Linked DNA regions of Stegostoma tigrinum. The main gene of each other region encodes a partner of the protein of the gene in region 4 in a complex. Links are inferred from orthologs where the notes say so. Each region holds a gene or a part of one and is shown on either strand. Other genes may lie near its edges. The genes, in order: prpf6, snrpd2, prpf3 and prpf4.

Evidence for each region.
Region 1: prpf4 (region 4) and prpf6 share a complex: the UniProt entries of both Homo sapiens proteins name them as parts of the U4/U6-U5 tri-snRNP complex. The link is inferred for Stegostoma tigrinum from reciprocal best matches to the Homo sapiens genes PRPF4 and PRPF6.
Region 2: prpf4 (region 4) and snrpd2 share a complex: the UniProt entries of both Homo sapiens proteins name them as parts of the U4/U6-U5 tri-snRNP complex. The link is inferred for Stegostoma tigrinum from reciprocal best matches to the Homo sapiens genes PRPF4 and SNRPD2.
Region 3: prpf4 (region 4) and prpf3 share a complex: the UniProt entries of both Homo sapiens proteins name them as parts of the precatalytic spliceosome. The link is inferred for Stegostoma tigrinum from reciprocal best matches to the Homo sapiens genes PRPF4 and PRPF3.

Annotation. Positions count from the first base shown.
Region 1 is NC_081372.1:31,363,150-31,370,007, reverse strand, and holds the start of prpf6 (pre-mRNA-processing factor 6), read right to left. Parts: upstream 3,003-6,858; coding exon 2,833-3,002; intron 1-2,832. UniProt on the Homo sapiens protein: Involved in pre-mRNA splicing as component of the U4/U6-U5 tri-snRNP complex, one of the building blocks of the spliceosome.
Region 2 is NC_081392.1:12,359,302-12,367,023, forward strand, and holds the start of snrpd2 (small nuclear ribonucleoprotein Sm D2), read right to left. Parts: upstream 3,022-7,722; 5' UTR 2,909-3,021; coding exon 2,907-2,908; intron 1-2,906. UniProt on the Homo sapiens protein: Plays a role in pre-mRNA splicing as a core component of the spliceosomal U1, U2, U4 and U5 small nuclear ribonucleoproteins (snRNPs), the building blocks of the spliceosome.
Region 3 is NC_081400.1:2,579,760-2,587,132, reverse strand, and holds the start of prpf3 (U4/U6 small nuclear ribonucleoprotein Prp3), read right to left. Parts: upstream 3,009-7,373; 5' UTR 2,937-3,008; intron 2,882-2,936; exon of another isoform or gene 2,776-2,881; intron 1-2,775. UniProt on the Homo sapiens protein: Plays a role in pre-mRNA splicing as component of the U4/U6-U5 tri-snRNP complex that is involved in spliceosome assembly, and as component of the precatalytic spliceosome (spliceosome B complex).
Region 4 is NC_081382.1:5,538,330-5,546,041, reverse strand, and holds the start of prpf4 (U4/U6 small nuclear ribonucleoprotein Prp4), read left to right. Parts: upstream 1-4,697; 5' UTR 4,698-5,197; coding exon 5,198-5,349; intron 5,350-6,339; coding exon 6,340-6,524; intron 6,525-7,712. Other genes in the region: anaphase-promoting complex subunit CDC26, read right to left, coding at 4,311-4,391. UniProt on the Homo sapiens protein: Plays a role in pre-mRNA splicing as component of the U4/U6-U5 tri-snRNP complex that is involved in spliceosome assembly, and as component of the precatalytic spliceosome (spliceosome B complex).

The DNA.
Region 1 (6,858 bases), on a different chromosome or scaffold from region 4:
GGAGGTTGAACTTTGTACAGGCACTGGTAGGACCAGATCTAGAAGTTTTGGCGTCCTTATTTAAGGAACGATGTAACCACATTAATAGCACAGCAGAAGTAGTCCAGCTGGTTGATTCTGGGATAAAGGAAGAGTCTTATGGTGAAAGATTGGCACGTACACATTGAACCTTAAGAATTAGAGCTGATCTCATTGAAAAAGAAACTGGAAATATTTTGCTTGAGTTATAGAGTGTTTGTGAGGCCACACTTGAAGTACTGTACACAGTTCGGATTTAAGAAAGGATGTACACGTTCAGCGAAGGTTCATTTGACAGCTGAATGGCGATTGGGGATTAACTGTTTCTCATGAGAAAAGGTTGAGGCTTTACCTACTGGACACGAGAACAAATTACTGAAATGTACGAGATCCTGAGGGGACCTGATAGGGTGGACATTAAAAGGATATTTTATTTTTTAGGAGAGACTAGAACTAGGAACACAGTTTAAAACTAAAAAGGGTCTCATTTAAGACGTAGGAGGATTTTTTTTTAAAACGAGGGTTGCCTGCCTTTAGAATTATTTCAGAGAGCAGAGGATACAGGATGACTGACCACTTTTAGGGCCAAGATAGACAGATTCTTAATTAGGGAGTTAATTGTCATAAAGGTGGTGTGGATGTGGAGTTGAGCTCATGATCAAATTATTCAATGGCAAATGAAAAATTATTCAATGTTATAGGCATTAAAAGGCACAATCCTGCTCTTAATTCACGTGTATATGTACGTCCGATGAAAACATAAAAAATTTGAGGTAATGGTTCCTCTTGTTGTAGAGACTTGAATTAGGGGATATAGTTTAAAATACAATGTTGCCTACTTAAGAATGAGAATTTTCATTTTTCTTGGTAGGCCATTACTCCGTGCAATTCTCTTCCACAGAGAACAGTGGAAGCTGGATCATTGACAACATTCAAAATCAAGTTAAATACAATTTGATCGACAAAGGAATCAAGGGTTATATGGTAAACAAGAAAGTGGAAATGAAATTATCATCTGATGAACCATTGCCTTATTGAACATCAGAGCAGGTTTAAGGAGGCGAATGGCCTAGTCCTAAAACACCTCCCAGAATCAACTCTTATATTGGCTTATGTCAGGTAAGGAAACAACTGGATACAGCGACATTCACCACTTCTGGATTATAACATTAAATCCCACATATGGGGGACAGGTCAAATTGCTCAACATTACCTTGCAAACTTTAATAAGTTCATTAACGTTTGTTCAGGACTTGAGGGCATCTTGAAAAATATAGTGAAACAAATTCACCCAACATCTTTCAGACATCATCTGGGCTCAGGGTTTCGGTATCTGAAACTAATCCTCATTTAAGCTGCAATATGTTCCATTTTTTAACTGCTTGGTGGCTTCACAGCTTGCAGCTCCTTGTTGCAAAGTGCAGCCACAAGGAAATATAGGATAGGACGAGGTGTTGCTTTATCACACTGTTGAATATTGTGTTATTTTCTTTAAGAAGACAAACTACCCATCTGACATTTTTGCATAAATCAGGGTTTTCAACAAGAGGTTGGTTCTGGGATAGCAGGACTGACGTATGAGGACAGATTAACTAGGTTAGGATTGTTTGCCGTGGAGTTCAGGCAAAGTTGGGGGGGGGGTGGTGTCTCATAGAGACATAAAATCACAACAACACTAGACAAGAGTTGATGCAGGGAGGATGTTCCCAATGGTGACTGTGTACAGAACCAGGGATCACAGTCTGAGGATTCATGGTAGGCCATTTAGGGCAGAGATGAGGAGACATTTTTTCACACAGAGTGATGATCCTGTGGGATTCATTACCACAGGAAGTAATTGATGCCAGAACATTGAATGTATTCAAAAGGTAGCTAGATAGAACAAACAAAAACAGAAGAGATAGTGGGGACTGTCGACGCTGGAGAGTCTGAGGTAACAAGGTGTAGAGCTAGATGAATACAGCAGGTCAAGCAGCATCAGAGGAGCAGAAAAGCTGACGTTTCGGATCTAGACCCTTCTACAGAAAACTGAAACGTCAGCTTTCCTGCTCCTCTGATGCAAAGTGGCCTGCTGTATTCATCCAGCTCTACACCTTGTTATCTCAAACAAAATCAGAAATTGCTGGAAAAGCTCAGCAGGTCTGGTAGGATCTGTGAAGAAAAAAAATCAGAGTTAATGTTTTGAGTCCGGTGGAACTCAGAATGGTCATCGGACCCGAAACGTGAACTCTCATTTTTTTCCTTCACAGATGCTGCCAGATCTGCTAAGCTTTTCCAGCAACTCCAAGATAGAAAGAACTGCCAATGCTGGAGTCAGAGATAACACTGTGTGGAGGTGATGTTTCCTGCTTTGCTGCTCCACTGATGCTGCCGGGCCTGCTGTGTTCCTCCAGCTCCACAGTTATCTTTCCCAGCATCTCATCAGTTTTTCTTCCTCATTTACAGCATCCGCAGTTCTCTGGGTTTTTATTTGGCTAGATATAGCACTTGGGGCGAATTGGATCAAAGTTTATGGGGAGAAAGCAGGATTAGGCTATTGCGTTGGACGATCATCCACGATCGTGAAGGATGGCAAAGCAGGCTCGAAGGGCCTCCTTCTGCTCCTATGTTTATATAAAATTTAAATGGTAGCAGAATTGAACTAGTATATATAAGAAACAAAACAGACTCTAAGGTACCGTTTCAGGGCCTGTGTGAACAGTTACGGCGATCAGCCTCAATCCTTAAATTAGGCACCTTGGTGCGTCGCGGTTGGCGTGTTTACTTACAGGCAGCACCACGGAGGAAAAGCAGAAGATGCAGAATTAAACTCACCCTCTGCCCAAACCCGGCACGTAACCGAGAGGCGCAGGCATGCCCAGAAACGGCTTCTTTTTCTTGTTAAGGGTCCCGGTGAGGGTTGGACCCCCCGAGCTCACCCCACTCGGTGCAGCAGCTGTACCAGTGCCAGGAGCAACCGAAGATGCTGCTACCGCCGCCGCCATCTTGCAAGCAGGAATTAGTCCCATAAGCCTTTACGGCAGGAGCGCGGCAGGAGCACGTGATCATCTTATTAACATATCGGGACTCCTCGTTTACGTCTTATTTACATACCTGAGCAGCTCTCTGACATTGGACCTGGAAGACAGCAGCAAATGCAGCTACCAGATTATTGCAGTGACCAACTCCTTGAAATATTGGCCTCCAAACTGAGTTTTCCCAACTCAAACCAATCACCATGAAGCAACTAGGATAGCTTCTCACCAGAGGAAAAGCAATAAATTTAAAAACTGAAGAGTGAAACTCAGAGAAGTACTGATTGCATGTAGAAACCATGTCTGAAGTCTTTCAGCTGAAGGGAGGTAATTCAGTTGTCAGACTCTCAAAAAGATGTGAATACCAGTTTTGTGTAACAGAGGTTGTTTAGGGATAGAGTCAAAGTTTAATGTTTTGTTTGGAGATAACAAGAACTGTAGATGCTGGAGTCAGACGCAACACAAAGTTAAAACTGAAATGAGATGACATTTCTTCAGCCAGAGTGGTGGGCTTGTGAAATTCATTGTCACGGAGTGCAGTGGAGGCTGGGATGCTGGATGCCTTCAAGGCAGAGATCGACAAATTCTTGATCTCAGAAGGAATCAAGGGCTATGGGGAGAGTGCAGGGAAGTGGAGTTGAAATGCCCATCAGCCATGATTTAAATGGTGGGGTGGACTTGGTGGGCCGAATGGCCTTACTTCCACTCCTATGTCTTATGGTCTAATTTGGAGCTGGAGGAACACTGCAGGCCAGGCAGCATCAGAGGAACAGGAAAGTTGACATTTAGGGTCAGGACCCTTCTTCAGAAAGTATTTTGTTTGATTAGATTAGATTGCTTGCTTGATATGCAACTGTGCAGAACCAAACTACTTTTATGAATATTTTTGAAATAAAAACAAGATAGCATACAACAGTAAGTTTCTGTCAGGCAGCAAGTCAGAATCCACGGGGAAGGTGTCATCACCCTCATCTCAAAGTCGAAGGGAGGATGGGTAGAAATTAGATATTGGTAACCAGTCATGTCAGGATGACTCTGGGATCAGTGATTCACCCGGACAAAACTTGTGCTATACTGGGCAGGACAATTTCTGACAGCCTCATGCTCCTCAGGCATATGATCACCTACAAGCAGAACAGGGGTCCTGCCTCATCAGCCCGGACCAGGAAAAGGACTTTGACACGATGCGGGATGTTCTCTCTAAATGGGCTTTGGGAAGAAAATCCGAATTGGATCTAATGGCTCTACACCAACATCAATACTGCAGACTCAAACAATCGGTGGGAATCAGAAAGTTTTCCAATCAGATCTAGAGTCAGTCAAGGCTGCTTGTTCTCTCCTGCCTTGTTTCTGTGTTGTAGAGAGCCTTTTGCCGTGTCCAGTGGTTAGTACTGCTGTTTCACAGCACCAGGGACCAGGGTTTAGTTCCACCCTTCGGCGACCGAATGGAGTTTGCATATTCTCCCTGTGTCTGCATAGGTTTCCTCTGGGTGCTCTGGTTTCCAACCACAGTCCAAAGATGTGCAGGTTAGGTCGATTGGCTATGCTAAATTGCCCATAGTGTCTAAGTAGAGTAGCCATGGGAAATTCATGGTTACAGGGATAGCATAGCTGGGTGAGTCATAGAGACAAAGAGCTGTACAGCATGGAAATAGACCCTTCAGTCCAACTTATCTATGCTGACCAGATGTCCTAAATTAATCTAGTCCCATTTGCTGGCATATCCTTCTAAACCCTTACTATTCGTATGGCCATCTAGATGCCTTTTAAATGCTGTAATTGTACCTGCCCCCACCACTTCTTCTTGCAGCTTGTTCCACATGTGCATCACCCTCTGTGAGAAAGTTGCCCCTTAGGTACTTTTTAAATCTTTCTGCTCTCACTTTAAACCTATGCCGCCTAGTTTTGGACCCCCATCCCAGGGAAAAGACCTTGCCTATTCACCCAATCCATGCTACAAATGATTTTTAAAACTCTATTAGGTCACTCCTCAGCCTCCAACGCTCCAGGGAAAATAGTCTCAATCTATTCAGCAAATCTCAATAGTTCAAACACTCCAACCTGTGCAACATCCTAAGGAATCTTTACTGAACCTGTTCAAGTTTCACAGCATCCTTCCTATAACAGGAGGAACAGAACTGAATGCAGTATTCCAAAAGTGGCCTAAGCAATGTCCTGTATAGCTGCAGCATGTCCACCCAGCTCCTATATTCAATGCATTGACTAATAAAGACAAGCATACCAGATGCCTTCTTCATTATCTTGTCTACCTGTTACTTTACTTTCAAGGAACAATGAACCTGCACTCTAAGGTCTCTTTGTTCAACAACTCTCCCCAGGGCCTCATTATTAAGCCTTGCCCTGATTTGCCTTTCCAAAATGCAACTTTTATCTCAATTAAACTCAATCTGCCACTCCTTGGCCTGTTGGCTCATCTTATCAAGGCTCTTTGTACTCTGGCATAATCTTCTTCGCTGTTGGCTACACTAAATTTTGATGTCATCTGCAAACTTACAAACCATACTTTCTATGTCCACATCCAAATCATTTATATAATCAACATAAAGTGATGGAAACATCACTGATCCTTGTGGCACACAGCTGGTCACAGGTGTCCAATCTGAAAAGCAACCCTCCACCACCACTCTCTGTCTCCTACCTTCAAGGTGCTTTTGTATCCAAAAGGCTAGTTGTCCCTGTATTCAATGTGATCTAACCTTTCCAACCAGCCTACCATGAGGAACCTTGTCAAACACCTACTGAAGTCCGCTCTGCGTTCATCAATCCTCTTTGTTACTTCTTCAAAAAACTCAGTCAAGTTCATGAGACATGATTTCCCAAACACAAAGCCATTTGACTATCCCTAATCAGTCCTTGCCTTTCCAAGTCCATGGAAATCCTGTCCTCATAATCCCTTCCAATGACTTGCCCACCGTTGATGTCAGTATCACCACTTTATAGTTCCCTGGCTCTTCCTTATCACCTTCTTTAAATGGTGGCACCATGTTAGCCAACCTCCAGTCTTCTGGCACCTCACCTGTGGCTATTGATGGTACAAATATCTCAGCTTAGGCCCAGCAAACACTTACCTAGCTTTCCACAGAGGTTTTGAGTATGCTTGATCAGGTCCCAGGGATTTATCTACCTTTTTACATTTTAAGACATCCAGCACTTTCTCCTCAGTAACATGGACATTTTTCAAGATATCACGTTTTATTTCCCCAAGTTCCCTACCTTTTTTGTCATGTCCTTCACCACAGTAAACCCTGATGCAAAACACACTGTTTCTTCAATTGCTACTGTTCAGAACCAAATTGCTTCAGTGACTATAAATGTGTATAAAGGTATTTTCTGAATATTATATTTGAAACAAAAAAATGTAAAGTCAAATGTGGATCCATTCAGTTATGGGTCCTCCTGGTGCATCAAACGTATATAAATTGTATTTGCAAAAGTAAGAAATGCCTTTGGCCTTTTTGAAACTGTCAGGAGAGTCAAACCTCCAATGTTTGTTTGTTCTCAATATGCTGAGATTATACAGAATCGAACTGCTCCAGGAACTACATATGTATAAAAAGATTTTTATGAATAAAGTATATTTTTGAAAGACAAAAGAAGATATGTAAAGACTGTACAGAACTACTTTAGGCCTCTATTTAACTTTGGCAGAAAGGTCTTAGATGGTGGTCTTTCCCCACTGTGCCTTGGCAGCAGCTGCTCTAAGCTTCAGTGCATGCCTCAGCATGTAATCCTGACCGTTGTAACATACCAGTCTATAACACACAGTTGGAGTCAACTCCTTGCTCTGGAAAACCAGCAAGTTTCA
Region 2 (7,722 bases), on a different chromosome or scaffold from region 4:
CCAGGATGTGGAATTCACTTCCCAAAGCTCTTCGCCTCTAGGGCTTTCTATTCCCCCTTTCAGATGCCCCTTAAAGATTCGACCAAATGTATGGTCATTTGACTGAACAACTGTCACAATGTTTTATAATGCTCATGAGAGATTCTGTATGTCAGTTACAACATTAAGGCACTATATAAATGTAAATTTTGCCATTAAAGAGCATGTTAGCGGGTCAGGGGAACGGGCTAGACTCTGTATGCCTTCAAGAAAATGAGTTGATCAGGTTCCCAATTAGAAATAGCTAATGAACATGCCAGACCACATTAAACCCAGTGGATCGGACTCTGGAACTAGATATCTAGTTCCAACAACTGCAGTAAAGAAACCGTGTAAATACCCTACCTTAACAGCAGTATAGGAAATGCTTGGATAAGGTAAGTTAATTTGAGTAATTTGAACAAGGTGATGAAAGCACAAATTTAGGAGGAAGCAGTGAGGCAAGATGGATGGGGATGGGGCAGTGACAGCCATAAGGCCACAGGATATAGGAGCTGAATTAGGGCATTCGGCCTATCGTGTATGCTCCGCCATTCAAACGTGGCTGATACGTTCCTAAACATTATTTTCCTTCCTTCTGCCCATTACCCCGATACCCCTATCAATCAACAACCCATCTTTCTCTGTCTTAAATACACTCAATGACTTGGCCTCCACAGCCCTCCGCGGCAATGAGTCCCACAGATTCACCAGCTTCTGGCTGAAGAAGCTCCTCCTCATCTCAGTTCTAAGGGTCATCCATTCACTCTGACACTGTGCCCTTGTATCCTAGTCTCTGCTACTAGAGGAAATATCTTCTCCACATCCACTTCATCCAGGCCTCTCAGCATTCTGTAAGTTTCAATCAAACTCCCCCCTCATCCTTCTAAACTCTGTCAAGTACAAATCCAGAGTCGTCAACCATTCCTCGTACAACAATTCCTTCATCCCTGGGATCATTCGTGTAAACCTTCAGTGGACCTGCTCAAGGCCACCTTAGAACTCCTTTAGATACAGGCCAAAAACTGTTCACAATATTCCAGATGCAGTTAATCAAAGCCTGATGAAGCTTCAGCAATACAGCTCTGCTTTTCCATTCTAGCCCTCTTGAAATGATTGATAACAGTGCATGTGCCTTCTTAACTGGCAAATGAACCTGCATGTTAGCCTTAAAAGAACGACTGGGACATGTGCTGTTCATGATCTACATAAATGATTTAGAGGAAAAATGTGTTTGGTCTAATTACTAAGTTTGTGGATAATATAAAGATTAGTGGAGTTGTAGATAACTGAGGATTGTCAGAGGATACAGCAGGATATAAGTCGGTTGGAGTCACGAGCAGAAAAATGGCAGATGGAGTTTAGTCCAGCAAAATGTGAGGTGATGCATTTTGGAAGACCAAGTACAGATGGAAATTATACAGTGAATGGCAGAACCCTTTTGGACGGGATTGCTATGCAGAGGGATCGAGGCGTGCAGGTACACAGGTCACTGAAGGTGGCGGCACAGGTACAGAAGGTCGTCAAAAAAATGCTTATGGCATGCTTGCCTTCCTTGGCAGGGGCATTAAGTATAAGGTTGAGTACATTATGCTGCACTCTATAGAACTTTAGTTAGGCCACACTTGGAAAATTGCACACAGTTCTGGTCACCACACTGCCAGAAGGATGTAGATGCTTTGGAGAGGGTACAGAAAAGATTTACCAGGTTTGCCTGGTGTGGAAGATTTTAGCCAAGAAAGGTCAGAAAGACTGGGTTTGTTTTCACTGGAACACAGGAGATGGTTGGGGCGGGAGGGAAGCTCAACATGACAGAAGTTTATAAAATTGTGAATGGCATGGATAAAGCGGAAAGGATGAGGATTTTTTTTCCAGGATGGAGGAGTCATTTACTAGGGGACACAGATTCAAGGTGCATGTCTGTGAGCGTGTGGATGTTTGAGAGAGATGTGCCAAGCAAGTTTTTCACACAAAGGGTGGAATGCGCTGTCAGAGATGATGGCAGAAGCAGACACAAAAGCAACTTTCTAAAAGCACCTGGACAAATACATGATTAGGAAGGGAGTAGAGGGATACAGATCCTGTAAGTAAAGGCAGCTTTAGTATGGAAGGACACAACATGTCAGCACAGACTTGGAGGGCCATCCTGAAAAAGTTCCCTTATCCCTACTGAAAGCAATAAATGCTGAGGGTCACAGTGGATCAGAAAGCATCTGTGGATAGAGAGAGAGCAAGCGCAAAACATTAGCTTGCTTTCTCTCCACAGATGCTGTCTGAGCACTGTGATCGCTAGCATTTGTCATTTTCAGTGCAGATTCCAGCATCTGCAGTAATTTGCTCCTTTTACCCTTTCTGCCAGTCAGCCCAATCCTCTATCCATGCCAGTACCTTGCCCCTAACAGCATGAGCTCTTATTTAGCAGCCTCTTGTGCAACACTTTGTCACAGGCTTTCTGGAAATCCAAATAGATCACATCGACTGGTTCACCTTCGTCTAACTTGCCCTGTTACCTTCTCAAAGGATTCTGAACAGCTTTGTCAGAGTGGAGAGGGACAGGGAAGGGGGAGGCGGCGGGTGAGAACCGGTATCTGAAGAACCAGTAAAATGGGGTAATAGATGCGGAAAGGGAATGCGAATCTGGGAACTACTGCTCCCTCTCCTTCCCCTCCCGCCCTGAGCGATGGGAGGGAAGGGTAGGAGCCGAGAATCTGTGCCCACCATCACCTCGGTGGGGAAAGGCTTCGGGCCCGCGCGGGCTAGGCCTCAGGCCTTAGCAACGCCGGCGAAAGGGCCCGAGTTACCGGCAGAGGAGCGGGTGATGAGAGGGGAAGCATCTCTTTTACCCCTGTCTCTCTTCCCCTCTCAATCACCCTCCACCTCTCACTCACATGGTGCTAGATGTCCCCCCAGTCGCCTCTTCTTCACTCCTTCAACCGCAACCGACCGCGCTTCGCCTCACACCAGAAGTGGGGTTGACTAACTTCCTGCTGGCGCAATGATCGCCGGGAGATGCAGTTTCCGCGTCACGTTCATCCGGTCCGAAAGGCAACGTTCGGGACTACAACCGGGGGCATTCTGGGTGTTGTAGTTCGTCAGTGCCCCTTTAACAAAGCGGAGGCGAGCATATGGACTTCAACCCCCAGCAGCTCCGACTAGCCTCCGCAATGACAACTTCAAACAGCCAGGTGTTTTTAAAGGGACATTGCCATTTAATGAAATTGAACACCCATTCTAGGTCTGGTATTGAAAAGATTTAATTGATGCTTTAAAGTGACTGGCAAAAGATGGGGTGCTGTCATCTGGGTAACCATCGGAAATAGGAACAGGATTAGACAGTTCAACCCCTCAATCCTGCTCCATCAGTAGGATCATGGCTAGTCTGACATTCCTCATATCCACATTCCTTCCCTTTCCCTGTATCTCTTGATTACCCAATTGATCAAGAATCTATCTATCTCTGCCTTAAATATACACAAGGACTCTGCCCCCACAGCTCACTGGGTAAGGAATTCCAAAAACTCACAACCCTCTGAGAGAAGAAATTCCTGCTCACATCAGCCTACAATTGATGTGGAGGTTCTGGATGTGAGTTTGCTCGCTGAGCTGGAAGGTTCGTTTTCAGACATTTCGTCACCATTCTAGGTAACATCATCAGTGAGCCTCCGACAAAGCGCTGGTGTTATGTCCCGCTTTCTATTTATAAATAGAACCTGAGCTACAAATCTTCTCAAAACTCACTGATGTGGAGGTGCCAGTGTTGGATTGGGGTGGACAAGGTCAAAAATCACATGACACCAGGTTATAGTTCAACAGGGTTATTTGAAGACACAGGCTTTCAGAGTCTCAGAGAAAGTAAGAGTTGCAGATGCTGGAGTCAAAGTTAACACAGTGTGGAGCTGGTGGAACACAGCAGGCCAGGCAGCATCAGAAAGAGCAGGAAAGTTGATGTTTTGAGTCAGGACCCTTCTTCAGGAGCCAATGGACCGAAAACACTATTTTTCTTCACAGATGCAGTCAGACCTGCTGAGCCTTTCCAGAAGCTTCTGTTTTTGCTCCTTAAGAATGCTGTATGTCTCAACAAGATCATCATTGATTCTTCTAAGCTCCAGTGTATACAGCCCCTATCTGCTTAATCTTTGCTCACAAGACAATCTCATCCTGTTGAATCCTCCCTGAACTGTTTCTAAAGAAATGATGGCATCAGTGCGGAGTCTATAAAGACACTGACACTTTCCTTGAAGTGTAAAGACAATGACAGAGAGGAGCTCGCTACCCATCGTTTAAGATGGTGCGCCACTCTTTCTGCCAGTATGAGAGACAGTTGAGAGGGGAGGAAAGGAAGCAGATCCTTCGCAATCTGCATTCTCCGACCTCACGGGTCATCCTTTAAAGACGTGAGGATGGACAACCGGCCTGTTCAGTCACATGAGCACCCATGGTAGAAGCTCCCAATTCTGATTGGACGTCATCTCCAAATCGAGGGACTGCTGACAACAGCTTCAAGGCTCCTTATTTTGTCAGAAGGCCCTTTGGCTCTCCATGGGATTGTGAGAGGAGCTATATAGATGCAATATGTTTCTTTTCCTTTAACCCTGATCAAGTGGGACGCTAAGGGGTATAGATAGTATGTATAATAATGGCAGTTGTCTTTTCCCGAGGAATGAGGATTTTGAGACTAGGAGGTACATTTTTAAGGTGAAAGGAGCCAAATTTTAAAAAAAAAGACATAAAGGATAAGTTTTTTTCCACAGAGGGTGGCTCGTGTGTGGGATGAACCTCCAGAGGAAGTGGTGGATGTGGGCACAATTACAACATTTAAAGACAGTTGGATAAGTACATGAATGAGAAAGGTTTGGAGGGATATGGGCCAGGAGTGGGCAGGTGGCACGTGTTTAGTTTGGGATTATGGCTGGCATGGACTGGTTGGACCGAAAGGTCTGTTCCCTTGCTGTATGACGTTATGAGTGTGTGACTCTACAATCAGTGGGAAGACACACTGCTGTATAGTGTATGAGCAACAGAGGTTGCAGGACTCGATGTACTCAGTTAGTTGGGCCCTGTCTGGGAGGAAGAGAGTATTTCTGGAAGAGCAGTACATGTGTGTTTGTGCATGTACTGAGCAAGCTCAATTGAACTTAATAGTTTCCTCATTTTCAAGCAGCCTGCAAACCCTCAATCTCTTGCTTGGTACTTGGAAAAACAAGAACAGGTATCTCCACTACACATAATCTACACCGTCAGGGGAGATGGAACATCAGGGAGTAAAGATTCAAATGATCTAATAACGTCACTGTTACAAAGGGTGGAGCGATTATCGTGAGTGTTACTTTATGCTGTATGTCAGAGTGTGACTGCGAGATGTTTAGACATGTACAATAGAACAATTCAGAAGGTAGAGTTGTGTTAGAAGATAGTGAACAAGGTGTAGACCTGAAGTCGTGTGAACAGTAGAGTCCAATGAAATGTCTAAACCCATAAATATAAAAAGTTAGAAACCAGGTCCCTCACAAGCAGATAATATTGGCTACAGGTCACAGGAAATCTGCTACAGATATGTTCTCCCCCTCACACACCCTCTGAGTTTATCACCCTGCTCATGACCAGGGGCATGTTGAAGGCTTCTGCAAAGGGGATGGTGTGTGTCTGGAACGAGCTGCCAGAGGAAGTGGTGGAGGCTGGTACAGTTACAGCATTTAAAAGGCATCTGGATGGGGACATCAATAGGAAGGGTTTAGAGGGATATAGGCCAAATGCTCTTTATTCATTAACAGGATGAGGGCAGTGCTGACTAGGCAGCATTTATTGGCCATCCCTAATTGACCCACAGGACAGTTAAGAGTCAACCACATTGCAGTGGGTCTGGAGTCACATGTAGGCCAGACCAGGCAAGGATGGCAGGTTCCTTCCCTAAAGGACATTAGTCTAGCAGATGGGGTTTTCCAGCAATCATCAGGGTATTCTTAATTCCAGACATTTTATTGAATTCAAATTCCACCATCTGACATGGTGGGATTCGAATCCGGGTCCCCAGAACGTTATCGGGATCTCTGGATTAGCAGTCCAGCGACAATACCACTAAGCCATCACCTCCCTGGCGAAAGGGACTAGGTCAGACTGGGATATCTGGTCGGCATGGATGGATTGAACCAAAAAGTCTATTTCAATGCTGTATGAGTCTACTTGCGTCAGTGTTCAAACCCTTCTTGTATATATTTTGCTGTAACAGGCCTTGCAGCCCAACTGTCCATGCTGCACCTCTTTTCACCTTATCCTATCAGCATATTCTTCCAAGGGGGAGTCCTCGTTTAAAGTTTTTTTTCACTTTAAAGTTGTTTCTGATTTATGTCTGTTTCCTCATTTCTAGTGTCCATTTTATCATCCCTTATGTCCTGTTGTGTCTCAAATCATTGCATCATCAATGAGACCTGTGCAGAACTTTGTTTATAGATGGGGTTGTGGTGATAAGCTTCCCTGTTGACCATGCTCGATTTATAGAGGAAGCAAACGTATATAAAACATGATCTGCAATACTTCAATCACAAATCTTATGGCCCAGACCACACGACCTCAAAATATTTTGAGAAGGTAGCCTAGACACTAAATTTTTCTTACCTTAAAGATAGATGTGAAATGTCACTTTCCAGATACAAAGCAACTGGTCAAACTACTCAACATTAGACAAAACATGATTTATCTAAACGCTGTAGTTAAAACGCAAACAAACGAACGATTGGAAAACATAATCGAGTAACAGATGCAGTAACTCTTACTAATTAACTGTACCAATATAGTAACAACTCATAAACACTCCCCCTTGGCAAAAAGACAATTCAGATACAGATTCTCACAGGCAGTTCTCCAATCCAGGAGGAAAAACATCAAGAGAGAATTCAGAGAGAATAGCAGCTAGGAGTCATTCACTGAAGCTTCCAGTTCATTTGAGAGTCCAAAGGCTTCTTATGCAAATGAGAAATCAAAACCTGGAAATGTAGATCTATGAGAGCTAGCCACACCCATTCAGTCTGTTTAAAAAAAAAATCCAAGGCCTCACAAGCTGTTTACTCAAGCTGTCCTTAGTAGCCGTTTCGGTCTCTCTGCCTTGCAGCCTCTCTTCAAATAAAGAACAAAAATAACCTTTTAAAATCATGACATCATCACACAAACATTGCATCAAGGCAGAATAGTGAAGAAAGCATTTGTTACACTTACCTTTATTGGTCAGTGCATTGAGTGTAGGAGTTGGGAGGGTCACGTTGAGGTTGTACACGACGTTGGTGAGGCCACTTTTGGAATACTGCATTCATTTCTGGTCTCAGTGCTATAGGAAGGATGGTGTAAGGCTTGAAAAGGTTCAGAAAAGATTTACAAGAATATTGCTGGAGTCGGAGGCTTTGAGCTACAGGGAGAGTTTGAATAATTTGGGGCTATTTTCCCTGGAGCATCAGTGGTTGAGGGCTGACATTTAGAAAATCATGAGGGGCATGGATAGGGTGAATAGTCAAGGTCTTTTCCGCAGGATAGGGGAGTCTGAAACTAAAGGGCACAGGTTAAAGGTGAGAGGGGAAAGCTTTAAAAGGGACCTGAGGGGCAACTATTTTACACAGAGGGTGGTGTGTGTATGGAATGAGCTGCCAGAGGAAGTGGAGGAGGCTGGTACAGTTACAGCATTTAAAAGGCACCTGGATGGGTACATGGATAGGAAGG
Region 3 (7,373 bases), on a different chromosome or scaffold from region 4:
CCAACACTTTTTTTACTCAGCCTACTGGTGAACACACTGCAGCGTATTTGTGCTCACATTGGAGAGGAGAAGGGAACTTGATCCCAGCCTCCCAAGTCAGGGGTCAGACTCTTTCCACTTGCCATGGCTGACAGACACAAAACCTGTGCTTGATGTCGCTGCTGTTTCCTTGTTCCCCACGTTTACTTTCAACAGCTGGTTCCATTTTATATATTTACAGAAGGCTCTTTTCATTTTTCTACAATTACACATGCAATCTCCTCCATCAATTATTTTTGTCATTTTTTGCTGAATTCTAAAGTCCTCCCAATTCTCAACTTGATACACGTCATTTAATCTGTACCAAACCTTATAACATCATGTGGTTTGACTGCTTATCCTGTTTGGTAGTTATTCCACATTACAGGAAGGATGTGGAGGCTATGAAGAGGTTTACCTGGATGCTAGCTGGATGAGAGGATATGAGCTATAAGGAGAGGCTAGAAAAACTCAGATTAATTTCCACTGCTCCAGAGAGCAAGGGCAGACTTGATAGAAGTCTTTTAAATTATGAGATGCATAGATAGGGTTGACAGGCAGAATCTTTTTCCCCAGATTTGAAGTGATGAAAACTAGGGGGCATGTATTTAAGATGCAAATGAGAAGTTCAAAGGAGGTGTGAGGGGCATTTTTTTTAGACACAGACAGCGCTAGTAGTTTAGAACATGCTGCTGGGGTGGTGGAGGCAAATACAATAGGGCCATCTAAAGGACTTTTAAATAAGCACATGAATATGCAAGGAATGGGGGGGGGAGCGCGATATGGACAACGAGCAGACAGAAAGAGTGAATTTAATTTGCAGTCATGTTCGGAAGAACGTTGTGGGCTGAAGGGCCCATTCCTGTGCTGTACTGTTCTATGTTCTAAAATGTATTTACCACAAATTATATATAAAATTTAAATATCTTTTAATACATCATGGATTTTGTAACAGTTTCCTTCGAATGCCAACGTGCCTACTGAGAGCTTCTAGTATTTTCTGTTTTTATCAGTGATTTCCCACATCTGCAACATTTTGATTTTGGATCATGATTTTGTTCCAATCTGTTGAGGTCAAATTTGCCTTTGTACACCGTTCACCTTGCTCAGACTTAAGAGCCTAATTCAAATGTAGAAATTAACAGAAACTCAGCAGGGCTAGCAACATCTATGGGCAGAAAATGTCATTAACGTGTGAGTCCAATAACCCTCTTCAGACCCTAGGTTATGACTTAACAAAATTATTCCCAGTGTCATGACCATGTTACGATCACTCTTCCTCAGATACCCTATAAAGTTATTAGTTAACCCTGTATAATACAAGATCAAAAACCAGCCTGAATGATTCCACAACTGGTTGATCAACGAAATGATTGTGAATGCATGGTGGGAGGTAGGCATTAATCAAACTTGGTTTTCATCAATTCGTCTTGTGCCTGGAAGAGCTTCTGGCCAATTACGTCATGGCTACAAGAGGGCAGGAGGGAGCAGTTAGTCAGGGTCACTGGCCGTCAGTGTTTACTGAAAGCCAGCTGGTCAACCACCTTTACTCCACCACCAATGTAGAACCACTCATCAAATGTCAATGACAGAATATGTGAAGACACTTGTGCGGGAGATTGGGAGTAGGGTTAGCACATGGGAGTTCTGATCAGGGACAATGATGGGTCAGCTCACAGGAATTGACATTTTAATGTAGACAGCACAACAGGATCTCTCATGTTCTACAGCAACAGGCCGCTCTCTCGTCACAAGGACGGTGTTGAATTCTATGCTGAAATTCATTTCAAAATTAGGTTGGAACCCATAATCTTCATCCTGCGACTGGGAGCTCTCAGGACCAAAGAATAATACAGGTCCTGGCAGGTGATTGACAGAGCATCAGCACTGAGGGAGCGTTGCACTATCGGAGGAGCAGTGCTGAGGGAACCGGTGGTTGGTGCCAGTCTGACTCACGGGTGTGTGTGTGTGCGTGCGCGCGTGTGCATGTGCGGTGTTTTGCTGATGAGGGTGCCAGATCACCACCGTCACCCCCACCCCCTCCAGGTGCCCTGGAGTGGAGGGATCAATGGGGCGCAGATCTCTTCGGTAGATTCAGACAGTCTTTCACCACCATCCCCATCTAGCCATATCCCACACTAACCCAGCCCCTCCTTCAAGTCTGGAGGGAGCAGCAGGGTGGGGGTGGTGGGGGTGGTTGGGGTGGTGGGGGTGGGGGTGGGGTGGGGGGGTGGGGGTGGGGTGGGGGGGTTGGGGTGGGGGGGTTGGGGTGGGGGGGTGGGGGTGGGGGGGTGGGGGTGGGGGGGTGGGGGTGGGGGTGGGGGGGTGGGTGGGGGGTGGGGGGGAGAAGGGGATGAAGAGAGGGAGAGCAGGAGGAAGGGCTGGAGGGGTCGGGGAGAGTAGTGGTGGTGGTAATAGGGGACCACACGGTCGGGGGGGGGGGGGATTAGAAGGTGGGGTGGGCCAGGGGGATGGGGAGGGAAGGGGGGGTGGAGTGGAGTGGGGAGGAGGGGGGGTGGAGTGGAGTGGGGAGGGGGGAGGGGGAGTGGAGTGAGGAGGGGAGGGCGTTGGGGTTAGGGGATGGAGTGGGGGGGGGTGTAATGGGAGGGCAAAGGCCCCAGGACCTCGTCCGAGTGCCACATTGAGGCTGTTAATGATGTGAGGATGGCGATGGTGGATACTACCCCGCGCCAAGCCTACTGCCCCCCCCCCCCCCGACACAACAGGCGCAGGCCGCAGGCCTCAGGCCTCACTCACCCGCTGCGACGACTGTCCCGCGAACAGACGGGGAGTGAGAGAAAAGGGGTCGGGAACCGGAAACCGGTGTCCCCGGCTCAACCGTCCTCCCGGACCCGGAAGCCGGTGCCCCCCTCCTCAACCTTCCCCCTTCGTTCCCCTCCCCGCCAGCTCCCTCGTACCTTTTCGGCACAGCACACCGGCCTCACCGGAAGTCCGCTGGCGCCACACTCAAAACCGTCCGGGGCCGAGTGTAACAACGAATGCACTCCCCGATTGGGCGCGATGCATCTGTTTTGGGGAAGACTGGGGGCGGCGGGAGAAGAAAGGTTCCGCTTCGTCCTCCTGACCGCGGGAAGGCGCCAGAGGGTTGCCCCGAACTTTCCAGACGCTTCTAGAACATCACAAAGGACCGTTTGGGGGGAACGTGTGTTGTTTTCGACAAACCCCAGCCACGATGTTTTGGAAAAAAACAGAGGAATCTGGGGTGGTGTAAGAAGGACATTGTCCCAGAATTGTACTAGAACATCACAGGGGCAAAGGCCTAGCGTGTTCTAGAACATTCCAGAGCGGGATCCAGCCTTTCCAAACAGAAAGAAACAGAAAAATAGTCTCCCTCCCCAAACAAAAGCATTCCTGGAGAAAGGATGGAAATGTACCGTAAAATAATTTCAGATACAGATCCAGAGGAATGCTCTGGTGAGTTCTGGAAAGTTCCAACACACCTAACTCCATGTATAAATCGGAATTCGGAGTAGAACCAGGCTGGACACAGTCAACAGAAAGTTCTGGAATATTCCGTGGCCCCAGAATGTTCCTGACTATTCCAGGGGAAGATGGGAATTCTCAAAAGATCAGTTCCAGGGAAATATACAGAATATTCCTGGGGAACGTTGAAACTCAAGGAGATAATTTCCAGGGAAAGGCCTGGATTGTTACAGGATATTCCAGGGGAATACCTTTACAAGATCAGTTCCAGGGAAGCGTCAGAACATTATGGAAATTTTCACAAATCGTCCCCAGGAGTACCCCAGATTGTCCCAGAAGATTGCAACCAAATGGCTCCTGAAAATTCCAAGCGAGTACCCAGAACTCTACAAGATCAGTTGCAGGGAAGGTCTGGATCATTCCAGAAAATTCCAGAGCTTTGCTGCAAATTTAGCAACTGTGAAACAAACGTCCAGGCATGCAAGGAAATGCCCAGATGTGGGGGAATTTGACAACCCTGAAAACAAAAATTACCCCAGAATCTCACAGAGAAGGTGTATCAGGATTCCTAAGTTTGAATCCAGGATTCAAGAAGTTCCATCAAACTTGAATAGATTCACGAATGGGTTTACAGTGAGCCTTTTGAGAAAGAATTTGGAAGATCTGAAAATTCCTGGAATCTCACACCTACCAAAAAACAGAATTTCACCAGGAATCTGAACCTGATCTAGAGCATCCCTGACAAAGCTGGAATTTTCAGATTCTTCCCAATTTGGTTTCTTTCCTTGCACCTGTGTAGATTCCACATCTGCTGCATCATTTACCGAAAATCCCAGGATTTGCAACTGACGTATCTGAAGATGAGCCTTACAGTCCACTAGGCCATCTTTCATCCAGTGGGAATAAAGTATCAGAGATTTGAGTTACTGAATTTGCACTCTTTTTAGTAAGTGCCATTGCAAAGTTAATGACCACGCCAAGGGCCCTAAGAATGCTTCATTGAAATTTTGAAATTGTTTGTGTATGTAGGAAAATGGATGCATGTGGATGAAGTTAATAAATGCAGATCAGTCACGTTCGCATTAAATGTCAGAACAGAGGATCTCAGTGACTTCTTCCTATTCCAGTTGTTACACCTCACTGGGTAGCATGCTAGAAATCAAGCCTCACTCTTCTGGGGTCATCACAAAAGCTAAAGATTTTAAAACATATGCCAAATTCTCCAATTTACCTGACCTTTACTCCCAGGTTGACAGAAAGAACAGACCAGGTTTCCATATTTAACAAGAATATGACTATATATTAGAAGTAAATAGACTCTAACTACAGGTAAACAATTTTGAACCATCAACAAATAGAATTAGATTTTATTGTCATGTGTACTAAAGTATAGAAGAACAGTGAAAAGTGTTCAATGTTGCCTCTTGTGGCACCATCTTAGGTAATAAAGGTACTTTATTAAATCTTAGATACCAAAAGAGGAATAAAAATTAACTACTAATTAAAACTCTAAATCCACTTATAAACCCCTCTAAGCACAAATTTGGGGGAAAAAATGAGTGTTTTGGATGGAAGGAAAACTGAGAAAACAGTTTCGTGCTCTCTGTTCACAGGACCTGCTGGGATGGTTCTTGTGCTGATCAGAACGCTGTTTCTCAATCTTCCTTTACTGGAGGTTTTCACTGATTTGAAGGAAGCTGGTTCACTTAAAGATGGTCTCTGATTCTTTACTTAAAATTCGCAGCATACTGCACTGCTGAAGGACAGTACGGTGATTCAGTGATCAGCACTGCTGCCTCACAGCGCCAGGGACCTAGCCTTGGGCTGTATGGAGTTTGCACATTATTCCTGTGTCTGCGTGGGTTTCTTCCCACAGGCCAAAGATGTGCAGGCTGGGTGGATTGGCCGCACTAAGTTGCCCATAGTGTCCAGGGATATGCAGGCTTAGAGGGATTAGCCATGGGAAAAGCAGGGTTACAGGGATAGGGCAGGGTTTGTGTCTGGGTTGGATGCTGTTCAAAAGGTTGGTGTGGCCTCGATGAGCCAAATGGCCTGCTTCCACACTGTAGGGTTTCTATGAAATGAATCCTATCTAATAAATAAACTTTTTCTTTGGTTTAATGGGTGATTTGATGGTGGAGATCAAAGAAAAAGTACTTTCAGAGACGTGTAAAAGCCTCCCTGGTAAGAAGAAGAATTTATCTGGAGGCTGAAAGAGAACAAAAATAATTCCTGAGCTGGTGGAGATCAGATGGCCTCTCACCATGTCTTGTTCACAACCTCAAGCAGTTCAGCTACTTGAGAACCAATCGCAGATCTTTGTCATTGATAACTGGACACTAGTTGACAGACTTGTGGCCAGCTGTATCTCCATTTGTATACACCATTGCCTGTGCTGTGTCTGCACCTTCTCCTCCTCCTGTTTGAACCAGCAGCTGTGCAAACAGTACTTCCAATGAGAGAAAACAAGGTGTAGAGCTGGACGAAGACAGCAGACCAAGCAGCATCAGAGGAGCAGGAAAGCTGACATTTCGGGTCAGGACCGAAGGGTCTAAACCCAAATGTCAGCTTTCCTGCTCCTCTGATGCTAATTGGCTTGTGGTGTTCATCCAGCTCTGCACCTTGTTATCTCGGATTCTCCAGCATCGGCACTTCCTTCTGTCTCTGAAACACTTCCAATAAGTGTCAGGTTGCTTGCTTTCAAAGAGCATAACAGTAGCCTTTCAGCAATCCTTGGTTTTAAAAGAGTTCTTCTCTCATTTCAGTCCACTAATAAAAATACAGAAAAGTGAAAAGACTCTTACGACACTGCATAACAGGCCTGAGGGGCTGAATACCACCCTCTCTTGCTTCACCCACCCTTTGGGCACCTCCAAACCCTCCCTCTTTATCCCTATCCCTCATCCATTTACCCCCTCTATCCCATTCCACCCCCCTTTAAGACCCCCATCCCCATTCCCTACCCCATCCCTCTCCCATTCCGCCACCCCACTCACTTCCACACTCCCTGCTACCTTTCACCATCCTGCTGCATCGATTTCAACTCACTCCCACCTTCCTTTCACCCCCACCTTGTCCCTCCTCTCCAACCCTTCCCCTCACCTTTCCAACGTCCTTCCCATTCCTCATGCACCCCCCCATTCCTTCTGCTGCTCATCTCCATCCCTTCTCCCCAAAATCCCCATCCTGCCCCCCTTCCACCTTCACCACTTCCCCCTCTGTCAGTTTTAGCCTCTCCCCTCCCCTTCAATGCCTCTCCAGTTCCTACATCTCTTTTCCCCCTCCCTTTCCCCCACCCATTATCTCCCCTGCCTTTCCCCTATCATCCATCCCATCCACCCCGTTCCCATTTCTTCCAGACTTGAGGGAGGCCTAGTTAATGTGGAATGTGGTTACTTGGGATGGAGGTGAGGGACTGTCTGAATCTGCCAAGGAGATCTGTCCCCACAGAACCCTGACCACACGGCACCCAGGTTGAGATTTGACAGCCTCATCAGCAAAGCACCCCCTCACCCCAGGTCCTGGAACCAGACAACAGACTGGCACGAGGTTCTGTCAGCACTGACCCTCCGACAGTGACAACTCCCTCAGCACTGAGCCTCTGACAGTGCCCGCTCCCTCAGCACTGACCCTCCAACAGTGCCGCTCCCTCGGCACTGACCCTCCAACAGTGCCGCTCCCTCAGTGCTGACCCTCCAATAGTGCAGCACTCCCTCAGCTCTGACCCTCCAACAGTGCAGCTCCCTCAGCACTGAGCCTCCGACAGTACCCACTCCCTCAGCACTGACCCTCCGACAGTGCCCGCTCCCTCAGTACTGAGCCTCCGACAGTGCCCGCTCCCTCAGTACTGAGCCTCCTTCAGTGCCTGCTCCCTCAGCACTGACCCTCTGACAGTGCCCATTCCCTCAACA
Region 4 (7,712 bases):
TAAACAGCATGGTTTTGTGTGGAGGAAGTCACGTGTCACCGAGTTAACTGAGTTTTTTTGAGGAGCTTGCGAAGATGTTTAATAAAGGGAAAAGCAGCTGATGTTGTCTACATGGACTTCAGAAGGCCTTTGACAAGGTCACTCATGGCTGACTGATGCAAAAAGTGAAGTCACATATCAGGGATGAGCTGGCAAGATGGGAGACAGAAGGTAGTGGTGGAAGGACGCTTTTCAGAATGGAGGGCTGTGAGTGGTGGTGTTCCACAGGGATCAGTGTTAGGACTTCTGCTATTTGTGATCCACATAAATGATATGGAGGAATACGTGGCTAGTCTTATTAGTAAGTTTGGAGATGATACAAAGATTGGTAGAGTTACAGATAGGAGGATTGTCAAAGGATACAGCATGATATAGATCAGTTGGAGGCAGAGGCAGAAAGATAGCAGATGGAGGTTAATCCAGACAAGTGTGAGGCAATGAATTTGGAACGTCACATACAGGTAGAAATTAAACAGTGAATGTCAGAACCCTGAATGTGAGAGATCTGGGTGTGCAGGTCCACAGATCACTGAAGGTGGCAGCAAGGGTAGATAAGGTAGTAAAAAAGGCCTATGGGATGCTTGACTTCATTAAAAGGGGCATTGAGTATAAGAATAGACAAGTTATGCTGCAGCTTTATGGAACTTCAGTTAGGCATACTGTTCTGGTCACCACACCACCAGAAGGATGTGGATGTTTTGGAGAGGGTACAGAAAAGGCTTACTAGGATGTTGCCTGGCATAGGGGATTTTAGCTATAAAGGAAGGTTGGATAGACTGGGTTTGTTTTCACTAAAATGCAGGAGGCTGAGTCACGACCTGATAGAGAAGTTTAGAAGATTGTGAACGGCATGGATAGAGTGGAAAGTATAAGGGTTGTTTGCAGGGTGGAAGGGTCAATTACTAGGGGACATTGTGTAAAATCAAATATGGTACACTCATTGGAACTCACAGCACGAGTCATTCCTAAAAAATCGAAAGATCAGCTCAATCCTCACCTGTCTTAAATGGGTGACCCCTTATTCTGAAATTATGCTCACTGGTCCTAGATTCTCCCCTACGGGGAGACATGCTTTCCACATCTACACTCTCAAGCCCCCCTCCAAAGTATCTTGTATGTTTCAATTTGGTCACCTTCCATTCTCCTCAAATCAAATGAGTACAGACTCAACGTGCTCAACATCTTCCCAGAAGAACATCCTTCCATACCTGGAATCAACCGAGTGAGCCTCCTTAAGACTGTCTCCAATGCCAGTATATCTTTCCTTAGATAAGGGGACTAAAACTGTTCCACAGCATTCTAGGTGTGGTCCGATTAGTACTTATATAGTTTTAACGAGTTCCCTCTATATTTCACTCCCCCGAAATAAAGGCTAACATTCCATATGCATTCACTATTAATAGCTGAACTTGATAATTTTTTTATGATTCATGCACGAGGACTCCTAAAATGCTCTGTGCTGCAGCTTTCTGTAGTCTTTCCTCATTCAAATAATATTCTTTTCTTCCTGCCCAAGCATGTAGCCTCACATTTTCCCACATTATATTCCAACTGTCAAATGTTTGCCTACTCACAACTTGTCTATATCCCCCTTGCATCGTTGTCCCCTGTAATTTACTCACCTAGCTTGGACAAAGCAAATAAACTCATGTTAGAAAATCAATACATTTCTTCAGTGTGTTCAGGGCAGTTGTTTTACAACAATATGCACTAGAACCAACAAGCAGGCAGGCCATATTAGTTTAATAAATGAACCAGATATTCATTAAGAGCCTAATGGTGCAGGAACATTTACCAAAAGTGATTGTGGAATCTATGGTTTCCCTTTCTCAGCCAAAATTTATTTCCTTTGTAATGTCTCTCCTCTCTTTGCTCACCAGAGTTCATCTTGTTCGTAAGAGCCATCTTGTACTCCCACAGCCCTATTCCCACTATATTACTGACCACCAACTTTCCTTCCTTGCTCACACATTAACTAAAACCACTAATGGTTCTATCTCTTCTGGTTCTGACCCTCTCTCCTTCAAATGTGCCATCATATTTCCCTCATCAAAAAAATACCTTTAATTCCCGCTGCTTGCAAACTGCTGCCCTATCTCTGACCATCCCCATTCCAAAATCCTTTGAAGTGTTTGTGGCATCTCAAATCTGTGCCCATCTTTTCCAAAACTTGAATCCTTCCAATCAACACTGCAATGGCTCTTATTCAAGTCACAAACAACACCTTCTGTGATCACACCACAGGTAAACTATCTTTCTTCATCCTGGCTGTGGCTTTCAACATGGTAGCCATCTTCCTCCAATTACTTTCCTTTGTTGTCCAGTGGGTGAGAGTAGACTGGCCTGATCCCATTCTTATTGCATCATAGCCAGGGAAACCATTGGCAATGACTTCTTTCCATTCCTACAGTGATCTCAGATGTCCCCCAGAGATCTATCTTTGGCCCCCTTCTATTTTTCACTGTACACTGTCCCTTGGCAATCAGTTTCACATCTATCTCACTACTACCTTACTTGAACCCTTCACTGTCTTGACTTTGCCTTCTTGCTACTCTGACACCCAAGATTAAATGGAAGCAGCGATATTGTGCTCCTGAGATGCTGCTTGGCCTGCTGTGTTCATCCAGCTTCACCCTTTGTTATCTTGAACTCTTGCAGCAACTTGGTTTTACTGCCGTCTCTGTTGCAATGTCTGACTCCATTACTACTTCAGCTCTTCTGCCGCTGAAACCCTATCCATGCTTGTTATCTTCAGACTTGACTATTGTAATGCATTCCTCGCTGCTCTCCCACATTCTAAACACTGAATTTGAGGTAACTGAAGTCTCTGATGCCTGCAGTCTAACGTACAGCATTCACCAATCCCTCTTGTACTAGCTGACCCACACAGACTACTAGTTAAACAATACCTTTATTATAGAAAATCTTCATTATTGTTTTCAAATCCCTCCACAGCCTGGACCCTCCTGACGTTCATAACCTTTTCCAATTCTGAGACCTCCAAAATATCACTGCACGTCTAATACAGTTTCAATATCCCTAATTTTAAATCATTCTGAAGAGGACAGGCAGGAATTTTTTAAAAAAAAGGTTCTTCAGGGTAGTAATGTGATAATGGGAACTGCAGATGCTGGAGAATCCAAGACAACAAAGTGCGGAGCTGGATGAACACAGCAGGCCAAGCAGCATCTCAGGAGCACAAAAGCTGACATTTCAGGCCTAGACCCTCCATCAGAGAGCATCCTCTCTGATGAAGGGTCTAGGCCCAAAATGTCAGCTTTTGTGCTCCTGAGATGCTGCTTGGCCTGCTGTGTTCATCCAGCTCCGCACTTTGTTATCTTCAGGGTAGTAATATCTGGAATACTTCCAGTGCCATGAGCTAGTGAGGATAGGAATAGAAGGATACAGCAGATAAATGTATGGCTGAGGAGCTGGTGATGGAGAGGATCCACAATTTTGGATCACTGGAATCTCTTCTAGGGTACAAGTGACCTGCATAAGGATGGATTGCAGCTGAATTGGAAAGGGCCTAATACTCTGCTGGGGAGATTTGCTAGATTTCCTAGGGAGATAGTGAGAAAAGAGGACAGTCCCCAAAACTGGTAGAGATGGGAAAAGGAACAGGTCAGACAGTCAGGAACAAAGCAGAAAACGAGCTATTACGGATGAATTAAACTGCATTTATTTCAATGCAGGAGGCCTAACAGATAACGCAGATGAACTGAGGGCATGGTTGGGAACATGGGACTGGGATATCATAGCAACTATAGAGACGTGGCTCAGGGATGGACAGGGCAGGATGCTTAATGCTCCAATGTATAGATGCTCTAGGAAGGATATAAAGCGTGTGCAGGGGATGGGGGTGCGAGCAAGTGGCAGCAGTATGGGGGGGGTGGGCACTGGGTGTGAGTGCCTGTGCCAGGGTGGGGGTGGTGGGAGTAAGTGCAGGGGGTGTGCAAGTGGCAGGGGTGCATGTGGGGTGTGGGGGTGTGGGGTATGTGTTGGGGGGTGGGGGAATGTGGTGTGTGTGGTGGTGGTGGGGGGGGGGTTGGTGGTGGGGAGGGGGGGGTTGGTGGTGGTGTGGTTCGGGTCTCCTGCCGCCTGACTGAAGTGATTTCCAGGTCCCTTTGTCGGTGCCGTGTCCAGGCGATGGTGGGTCTGGCTCTGGAGGCGGACGGTGAGGCCCAGGCCCAGGCCTAGGCCCCGCTGAGGTTCTGTCGGAGCGAACCTGGCGCCAGCCCTGGCCAAACTCCTGTCACCTTGACACTCACCTCCAACTCCTTCTTCATACTCTCAAACTCCTCAATATCGTCCAGCTTCAGTTCGAGCCGAGTAGGCTTCCTCCGCAACATTCTGCCGCTAGAAGTCACGTCCAACTTGGTCGCTTCAGACCTTACAGGCGACACCTGGCGTCACCACGGCATGGCACACTGGGACATGTAGTTTCTGAGCCGGCGGCGTGGAAATGACTACAACACCCAGCAGCCTGTGCGCCGCCTCCTTACCCTTTGCCCCGGACGCAGTCAGTGTCGGCTTAACGACGGTATAGGAGCTGGTAAGAGGCCGCGCTGAGGCTGGGGGAAGGAGAGATAGAGACAGGAGATAGCCTAAAGCTAGGCCTTGGCTATTGCCGTCAACTCCCCGTCCTTAACCGGGCCTTTATATTGTCAGGTTGGGGAGAAGTCGGTCATTGTGGCTGCTTGTGGGGGAGGGGAGGCTGTACTGTATCAGAAATCACACACAATGCTCTACTTGTGGCTCATAACTTTATTCAACTTCACCGTAAATCCCCTGCTTTTTCCATCAACATTTCTATTTAGGGAGTTCATAACTCCCATGTGCTTGGTTAATCACGCCCTGTGTATGCTGCCACCTGAAGAGTTTAGTGCACGTTGGCACCAAGTCCTCTCCCCTCCCCGTCTCTCTGCGCGCTCTTTAGCACTGAGTCATTAAGTATCTATTTCCTTCTCCCAAACCGTTCTTCCAAAATGAATCGCTTGTTAAATCCCAATCTGCCGGCCTACAATTCTCCGACTGGTAGTTAGAATCATAGAATTCGTACCGTGTGCCAGCATTCGGCCCATCGAGTCCACACCGAGCATCCCTCCCGTATCATCCCCATCTCCCATGGCTAACCCACCTAACCGGAACATCCCTGATGGGCAATTTAGCACCCACCCACCCTACACCTCTTTGGAGTAGGAGGCAGCCAGAACACCCGGAAGAAACCCGTGTAGACACAGGGAGAACGTGCAATCTCCACAAACTCGGGACCCTGGCGCTGAGAGACAGTGCTACCCTGTGCAATTGGTAACATTGTTATCTTTAGTACTGTTTCTAAGTTTGGTATCATTGACAAATTTGGAAATGTTAGTCTTTCAATATTCAAATAACATTTAAAAACCCAAGCAAAATATCTATAATATACCTACAAATTAATCTTTTATAAGATGGGTATGATGACCCTCAAGTTCACCTTAATGTCAACATCTGCTTTTACTTTTGAAATATGTTCAGCTTTGCCACTCAGACCAAAGTGGATAATTTCACATTTCCATCTTCTGCTGTAAGGAACAAGAGATCATCTGATGAGTGATAATGGAAACTGCAGATGCTGGAGAATCCAAGATAACAAAGTGTGAAGCTGGATGAACACACTGTGTTCATCCAGCTTCACACTTTTTTATAAGAGATCATCTGATACTTGTTTGTTATCTGTAGTTAGGAATAGAAGTAGATCATTCACTCCTTTGAGCCCTATTGCACTTACTATTCATTTAGATATTTTTTAATCAATGTATTCAGACATGCTATGGCTAATCTGTACCTCAACTCCAAGATCTACCTTTGCTCAACTTTTCTTGGTACTTTGACAATATAATGATCTTATTAATTCAATAGCTCAAATTGCCCTAAGGTGCATTGCTTTTGATTTGGGGAGACAGTTCCAAATTTTCTGTGATCCTTTTTCTCATCTGCCAGAGCCTTTCTTGATTTTATTCCATGGATGCTTCTGTTGTCTTTGATTCTCTCTCATTTCCTGCTTGTTCCTGTGAAGCTCCAAAAGCATGATCCAAAGATTCTCTCTCCTGGGCTAGAAATCAACACTCGTTCAGTTCTTCCTGTTCCAACTTCTTTCCCAAGGCATCAAAAACCAGAATTCCTATGAGCAACACCCCAATTTAAGCATGCAGATGCATGTACTTGGAGATTAGAGCTAGAGTCAAACAACCTGTCTTTCTCATCTCTTATCTCTGGTCAAAACGGTTTGTTAATTTTATGCATTTTCTACACCCACAGTTTCCTGCCCCATATTACAAGAATGTCTGATGATGATGATGTTCCGTTGCCTAAGAAATCTCGGATTTATTATGGAAGCCTTGAAGAGAAGGAGAAAGAGAGGATTTCCAAAGGAGATGCAGGATACCTGGGGAAAGAAGCTGTGAAAGCTGGGGTAGAAGCTGGACATATTAATATATCCAGCAGTAAGTGATGATGCTTCAGTTTCTTTAACTGTGTCATTGAATAATTACTCCATCTGATTGAGTCAAAAAATGTGGAGCTGCTGAAAAGATTGCTGAGAAATTTTAGAAAGCTGGTTGGGAACAATAGCAATAAGTAACAATTTTAGATGAATTGGGCTTTATTTTGGATGCAAAAGTGCAGAAAGTCTATAACGTTTGAAACACTTCTGGAAATGGCAACAGTTGTAATTAAGAAATTTATGTGCAACAAGTTCACACAAATAGCTAAGTGACGATGGCCTGATAGTCTGATCTTATAAGGTTAAATGATTTTCTGGATACCGTAGAAATATGCTGTATGTTGACTCTTCAGTGGGGATGCAAGGAAGTCCAAGTTAATGCCCAATACCTGCAAATAATGAATGTACAGTTAACAGATTTTCAAAAGAAATTGCATTGAAAATATTCAGGCTGTTCAAAGCAAATGTTGAGAGCATTTTATAGATCTCTTATCTGTGTGAAGTTGCGTATGTGACAACAATTATTGACAGTATTAATCCCTTACCCTACACAACGTGCGAATGGCTGAAATCAAAAAATACACAGCAAAGCTTTGCATTTCAAAATCCCACATTCTCTGAGACTGCTAACAATTTCTTTGCACATGCATTTCGTTTTCTGAAACAGTTGATGATTTACATCCATCCACTTAAGTTTAGAAGTCTTTTTTTCGCCTCTAGCATTTGTTTCAAACCAGCAAGGTCAGTTCAGAACCACTCTGTCACATTTTGTATCCCGTTGTGAACCATTGTCTACGTAACATTCTCTGGGTATACCATTTTCAGGAGTCTTATTGCACAGTATCTGCTTAAAATATTGAAGAAATAGAATCCGATATCCACAGCCTCCATAAAAACCAGTGTTTAAGCAGCCAGTGTACTTTTATAAACACAGGTATAGGAGTAGGCAATTCAGGACCTTGAGCTTGTTCCACGCTCTGAGAGATCATGTCTGATAGAACACAGAACATAGAAAAGTACTGCACAGTACAGGCCGTTCGGCCCACGATGTTGTGCCGTGGAATATTCCTAATCCAAAATTAAAATGACATAACCTACATTCCCCTCAATTCACTGCTGTCCATGTGCATGTCCGGCAGTCGCTTAAATGTCACTAATGACTCTGCTTCCACGACTACCACTGGTAAAC